Linked DNA regions of Oryzias latipes. The protein of the gene in region 1 purifies or fractionates together with the protein of each later gene. This does not show direct contact. Links are inferred from orthologs where the notes say so. Each region holds a gene or a part of one and is shown on either strand. Other genes may lie near its edges.

What was found.
Region 2: the proteins of bbs7 (region 1) and bbs4 purify together in Homo sapiens (co-immunoprecipitation; 7 studies listed by BioGRID and IntAct, counting the BioPlex papers as one, with this or other methods). This does not show direct contact. The link is inferred for Oryzias latipes from reciprocal best matches to the Homo sapiens genes BBS7 and BBS4.

The regions. Positions count from the first base shown.
Region 1 is NC_019868.2:200,768-205,201, forward strand, and holds the start of bbs7 (Bardet-Biedl syndrome 7 protein), read left to right. Parts: upstream 1-1,609; 5' UTR 1,610-2,066; coding exon 2,067-2,102; intron 2,103-2,237; coding exon 2,238-2,303; intron 2,304-2,674; coding exon 2,675-2,737; intron 2,738-2,804; coding exon 2,805-2,980; intron 2,981-3,098; coding exon 3,099-3,285; intron 3,286-3,391; coding exon 3,392-3,464; intron 3,465-3,562; coding exon 3,563-3,670; intron 3,671-3,785; coding exon 3,786-3,916; intron 3,917-4,434. Other genes in the region: tmem33 (transmembrane protein 33), read left to right, coding at 174-303.
Region 2 is NC_019861.2:10,995,102-10,997,890, forward strand, and holds the end of bbs4 (Bardet-Biedl syndrome 4 protein), read right to left. Parts: intron 2,048-2,789; coding exon 1,978-2,047; intron 1,878-1,977; coding exon 1,733-1,877; intron 1,659-1,732; coding exon 1,454-1,658; intron 1,106-1,453; coding exon 1,002-1,105; 3' UTR 536-1,001; downstream 1-535.

The DNA.
Region 1 (4,434 bases):
TGAAAAAATAAAAAACAAGCAGTGAAAAAACGAGAAGAATAAAGTTTTAGTAAAGCCTGAAGGGAAACAAAATGGCTGCTCAAAGGTTTTTGCTTCATCAGGGACGGACCTATGTAGACGTCTTTTACAGGACAGTACACGCTGATCGTTGAACACTTCCTCTTCTCCACCAGAACGTTGTTTACTGAACTGCGGATTCTTCTGGAGCACTTTGTCATGAAGCCTGCCTGCCCTGCCTTCTTCAGGAGGATGTGCCTCAACAGCATCGCCTTCATCAGCCGGCTTGCCCCCACAGGGGTCTGATTATTACCAATTATGTTAGTTTATTCTTTTACTGTTGCTTTTTTCTGTCCTGGTTTGTTGTTTGCTGTGGAACTGGGCAGACGATGCCATCAGTGGAAGGAGCTTGTGTTTTGAGGATCACATTCAGTCTTTTTCTGTGTGACGGTGCAGTCAGAGATCAGCCTCCAATGCTCTGAAGTCCTTTGGGGAGGTTTTGATTTTCATCTTCTTGCTACAGACGGCAATGTCAAAATATCAGCTGTTCACTATTTATTCAAAGAAATGGTTTATTTTATAATAAAACATTAACAGTCTGAACTACTTGAGTATGTATGTATACATGATAAATCTTGTTTTTGTTTGTTTTAATGCTTGACTTCAAGTGATTTCCATTGATACAAAACATGCTTGGCTAATGTTTTTTAAAAAAAAAGCTTTTAGCTGAATAAAATTTGCTGTATTTTTTAGAATAATTGAACCCGCTCAACCGTTTGGTTTAGGATGCGTATTTAAAATGATTTTGACAAAGCATGCCATGTTTGTTTGAATGTTTTTTAGATGGAAAACTTGACCTCCTTTCATTTATGAACGTTCCTAGCTCTCCTCCGCAAGCCTACTTTTTTTAAACCTGTTAAATGTGCTTTTTGCCTACAGTCATGCCACATTTTTGTATAACAAAAATGAAGTTATCTCTTTAATAAATCAGAAGAAATATAAAGAAAATTCACGTTTTTGTTTGTGGTGATATTCCTTGGTCAGGGCTGCAAGTGACCATCGGCCCAGATCTAACGGATGAAAGAAAAACCCATTCCTGCTGTAAAATAGGCTTATTTTTTCCCACACAATACAACAATCTTTTAAGCTGGAACACATTTGGGTTATCCAAAATCAAAAAGGGAAAAGTCTTTTCTATCTACCCCCTTTTTTTATTTTTACAAAAGGAGATCCTAAAAGCGGATAATTTTTCTGTTTTTATTTGTGAAATTGATTAAAATCATTTTATTCCACATTTTCTAAGACTTTTGCAAACCAAATAATAAATAAAAACAACTCTTTTCAAAAATCCTACTGAAAACAGATTTACATTATTTCTGAACAAAGGCAATCAGATGTGTAACATACATGACAACATTAATTTTCTGGATTGTAAACCTTTTTACTCAAAGTTGCTGTTACGTTTATTTATTGTAAATTATAATGCCGGATTTGTATGAATAAAGTTTTTTTTTAAGCATTTGTCTAATTCGGACACAAGGCCACAGTCCCAGCAGCCAATCAGCTTTCAGATTCATCAATTTCCTTCTTAGCCTTTATCCAATTGGATCGTATTTTACAGACTGTAGCGTCGTTGCCATGGGCAACATCACCGAGGCTACACAGTTTATTTGGCAAAATCAATGTTACACGGTAACTCTTCTGCTCTGCATTCATATCCAAACCGTGTTGCTCAGCGCGTAACGGATGTCCACCTTTACATTCTTTTAAAAACGATGACGTCATCTTTAAAAAAAAGGACAGCTGGCCGTGAATTAATCGTGTTAGCCGATTAGCTTGCTAGCTAGCGTTAGCGCATCTGCATAATCCCCTGCTTTCAGATAATCTCAGTCCTAATTTGCACCGGTTTCGTCCTGTAATTTAACCTTATCTAGATTTTCTTTTACCAATTGTAAGCGAACATAATCATAGTCGGATATAAACAGCACCCCGTAATCTGGTCAAAACCAAAGAGTCGCCGGATTTTTCTGTTATTCCCCGACAAAGTGAGGACGAGGTGAAGGCTGAAGATGGAGATCCACCTTAACAGAGTCGATTATGTTCAGGTAACACGACACATTTAAATTGTATTTATTTGTACTTTTCGTCTTGTTATATTACTTTAATGTGGACGTCTGCATTTGGAGCTGGTGATAGTTGAAGTTAATTCAAACCATCACTGCTCCATCGTTCCCCTTCAGGTTGGAGTGACATCTCAAAAATCTATGAGACTTCTTCCAGCTTTGGGGAAAAAGGCAACTCAAAAGGTAGAGTTTGTGCCGTTCTTTTCTGTTCTTTTGGAGTCTCCTTACTAATCTCAAGAATCTCCTTTTCGTGCTTTAAGTTTTTTTTTTAATTGTTTGAACATTTTAAACTGAAGCAAGCTATAAAACAAGACATTCACAACAAAAGCAATAAGAAAATCATTTTGTTCAATTTCTTTCCAACTAAGTTGCATAAAAACATCAAGTTGAATGCAGAAAAACAGCTGTTTAAAGCCTGCATAGCCACAGCCCTCTGGTCTCCTTTGAGATGCTCTCTTCCGGTTGGAAAACAGTTTGCTGACTTTGATACAATTTTAGTAACATCTTCACTAATGATCTGCAATGTTCCCCAATGAAGGATTTTTGTGTTGCAGGTTGCCATTGCTGATCACGATGGGATTCTGACATGTTTTGGGATGAAGAAGGGGGAGGCAGTGGTGGGTTTAGGTTTTACTGACTCATCATTCACTTCTCCTGCTGTCAGTAAAGAGACTCTCATTTCAGCCTGTGTTTAAAACACTCCCGGGCCAGAAGATCTGTAGGATGGACCTTGGAGGTGCTCTTGGGACTCCTCGGGAGAAGATCTTTGTCTGCTCCGGCTCTCAGGTTCGAGGATTCACCAAGAAAGGCAAACAATTTCTCACCTTTGAAGCCAATCTTACTGAAAGCATCAACGCCATGTGAGACGCGCTCTAAAACTTCTCTCATCATTATTATTGTTTGCTCTAGTTGAGTGAGTTGTTCGGAGAAGTGATGGAGAATTGTGAGCTTTCCCCTTGAGTGGTGTTTGTCTTCCAGGTATGTCTCAGGTGCTGACCTTTTTGTGTGTGCAAGTTACATTTACAATCACTACTGTGACTGCAAGGATCAGGACTACTTCCTGTCTGGAGACAAAATCAATGATATCACTTGTGTGTCCTCGGAAAAGCTCCCTCACCTCACGCCGGTCTTGGCATGTCAAGATCGAGTTCTGAGAGTCTTGCAGGTCAGTTGAGCTTTTATTTCTTTATCTTTTCATTTCAGGAAGTGCATGACCTTCAGTCAGTTCCATATAGTTTACTTTCTATCATTTTATCTGCATGTGACTGAAGGGCTCCACACTTGCCTATGACATTGAAGTCCCCGGTCCTCCATCAGTCCTGGAACTGTACAATAAAGATGCAGGCTAGTCCATTTGTTTTTCAGCTGAGTATCCAAAGAATATTATGGCTTCGATCTGCTCTTTTTACACCAGCTTTGGCATTCCATCCATCTTTTCTCAGGGGAGGAGGTCCTTTATGGAACTACAGATGGAAGACTTGGACTTGTCCAGATTGGCGAGCACTCCGCTGTGGCCAAGTGGGAAATTGATAATGACAATAAAAAAGGGGGTAACTCGCTTTTGGATGATCAAATATTTTCAATCACGTTTTCATAGAAGCTGCTTGAGTATCAGACTCATTTCTAAGTGTAGTTCAGCAGCAAACGGCGTTTGTCTCCTGTCAGGGATTCTCTGCGCCGACGCGTACGACATCGTTGGAGACGGCGTGAATGACATCCTGGTGGGCAGAGATGATGGGACGGTGCAGGTTTATGGCTTTGACAGTTCCAATGAGCCCACCTTACGCTTTGAGCATGTAGGTTTCTATCAGGAGTCTTTGTTGTTTTATTCATCTTCCTTCATTCTAATTAACAGTTAATCTCTGTCAACAAATCCATTCTGCCAAAACTGCATCCTTTTGTTTTTAAACCTGAAGCTATTTCAATTCAGTTGTTCGCTTCCTTTCCTCCCTTTCAAGCAATCTTTGATTTAATATCTATTATCTATTATCCTAAGTTTGATACGTCTTTGTATGAATGCTTATTGTATTGTTTTGTGCATTATTCCTTGATTGCTTGAAATAAAGCATTTCAAATAAATAAAAAAAAACAAAAAAGTTACATTTATTTGCGAAACATAAATCCATAACTTTAGTTGTTGAGCAGGTTGTCAAAGCAAAATGATGAATTCATTTTAAATTTCTTATATTTGTCTTTAACAGAACTTTTGTTTGTAGTTGTTGTTTTGGTGTTTAAAAGTCCTGTTATTGTTTGAAAAAGCTATTTATCCTGATCAGCATTTCATGACCTGAGGGCTAAAGCGGAAACGTTTCCT
Region 2 (2,789 bases), on another chromosome or scaffold:
TAGGATTACACTTGGACACATTTAGAAGTGTAACAAATCCTGAACAGGTACGTTTCACCTGTGGCGTCTGCACACCCTCACACAAGGATTGGGCCAGTGCTAACGCTACATTTGGTTTTGTTTAACATCATGTACTCTAAAGCACTTATGTTTCAGAGACAGAATAGTGTGCTTTGGGAAGTGGTGAGAGGTGTTACACAGGAAATTAACTGCTGAGCACTTTCAGTACAAACTAATGCTCGTTTGCTGCTCTATTTAGTAAGCAGGCCAGGAGGATTTGACGTCAAATAAAGCACTGTTGACACAAGAGGGCTCCAGCGGGTTTTGAACTCACGCATCAGTCTGAGGACTTTGCAGGAGGAAGCAACAGGCCTGGTTTTTTACAAATCCTCAATCTCTGTTTTTCTTTTAAATGCTTGAGAAGCTGATGTAAAATGTGTCCAGAGTTGAACTCTTACTCTGTGCAGATTCTTATTTGTCATTTTATCACACGATTCTAGTCTTCAGGTCAAAGTTAATAGAAAACACACACTGGTCAAAATTCATTTTTTTAATAATTTTTTTTTTAAATATTAAATACTCTATACACATGACATTTATCCACATATAAAAGCATGTATTGCATTTTACATTCAAGTTCTGTGGTAGAAACAAGCCATGTAGCCTAATGTATGACGTCAGAAGCCTCCGTTTGCTAGAATCAACAGTGATTGTTGCAGCTTCTCCTCCACACACTAGAAGGAGAATCTGTCACATCACTGTAACTGGGATGCAGCTAGATTTTATGTGAAAAGAATTGAAACGTAAACCTGTAGGGTCCAAGGTCGATATTTCTAAAAGCTCTACGTCCAACAAGATGTGACATTAAAAATAAAGCCCAAACGCTCCTGTGGTTGAAGCTGCAAAGACGACTGACCTACTGACAGCTGGAAAGAACCGTAGGGCTTCGAGTTCATTCTTCTGCCCGCCTTTTCTTTTCCCAAGCTCCAGACGGGGAACCGTCACACTGCTGGTTGTGGGGAGCCGGGAGGGTCGGCGGGGAGGCCGGGGTCATTCCCAACCTCGGCCTCTGGATCAGGGGCCGCAAAAAGGCTTTTGGAAACCCCTAAGAAAAAGTAAAAAATGTAGTTTAGCTTGACTTTTTTCTCGTTTCTGAGGGAATTTTAGACGCCAAAAACCATCAAGATCATTTTTTCCTGGCATCATCGTGTCATTATGATTGTCACAAAAATAAATATAAAAATAATTTAATAGTATTGTTCAAAGTCAAATAAAAAAACAATACTTTTTAAAAATATTAATGTTTGAAATGTGTTAAAAAAACTTATTTCATTCCCTGTTCCCTGTTCTTTCAGCATGTCTGCTGCGTGTTTTTTGCTCGAGTAAAAAAAAGGAGTTTCTACAAAATCTTGCCATTGCTAATTTCTAAGGGATTGCCGTGAAGCCACTGTACCTGCTGGAAGCTGAATGTTCTTATTGTAGCTTGCAGCTGACGACATGGCCTGACCCAGAGCTTGGTTTGTGCCAAGAGGAGCGCTTGGGCTTTTGGCCAGTGTTGCAGAGTGAGGCTTGGATTTGGAGTCCTTGCCTGGTTTGGTCCACTGCAGGCTCTCTCCCACCTGCAGAGCAGCCCCCAATTTCTGAGCCATGTCCATGAGCTGTTGGTGCATCAGAGAAGAGGATTAACAACGAGGAAGGACAAAAAAAACAGAGCCGCTGAAGCAGAACACACCTCAGGATCAAATTCTAAGTTGCTGCTGCTGTCCTGCAGGATGTTGACTTTTCTTTGCATCTCCTGATATTGATCCAGAGCTGCTGTCTTGTCCCCGTGATTATAGAGGAAGATCGCAAAGTTCAAGTTGACCAGGGGGTTGGATCTGTTAGAGATAGATCATAAAGAAAGCTCCCAAACCGCATCAATGATCTGAAAGGATGAAATGGTTACACAACTTCATGTCTAAGGCAAAGTAAACTCACTCATCTAGATTCACAGCTTGCTCATAAGCTCTGGTGGAATTCTCCACGTCCTCCAAGTTAGTCAGAGCCACTAGTGAAGATAAGACAAATGACAAATTGAACACACACTACTCACAAGAAGTTAGAGATATTGTCAAAAACTACTCAGAACATATACACAGTGTTCATGGGGAGGTAGGGCTGGGCAATATAGAATTTTTTATATCACAATATAGTTTTTTTTTTTTTTTAAATATCAGACGATAATATATATTACAATTTATACCATGGTACGGGTGAATACTTGATTCTGATTGGCTGCTGGGTGTGACAACCGTTCCGGTCACATAGCTTACATGTTCTATATCACAGCGCCGGCTTCTTTAAAACAAACTTTAGCTTCATCAACTGAACAAAAACAAGCGGTAAGAGATGAACTTTCTCTCTGAACTGATACCACGGCGGCCCACTTTATTTAACCCACTGTGACGATCAGCATAGATATTGCTTTCCTTTGCTGCTGCGGTCAAGATCAGTGCGTTGTCATGTTACCGTGACAACGCACCGCACCACCTAACAATGGTCCGCTTTTTGAATCTTTTCAATCCTAACCAGAAAAAAATAGTACTAAAAACTGATTGAATATTTATTTATTTTGTAATTGATCATGGTATAAGCGGGACTGGCTGACGAAGTGTGCAGAAATGAAGGCAATTCACGGAAGCAACCGTCCAACGCAAAGCGTCCACAGATTCTACAGTGTGCGTTCATTTTTAATAATGCACACTTCATGAAATCATAACAAAAGAGCCTGAAAACAGTATAATGCTTTT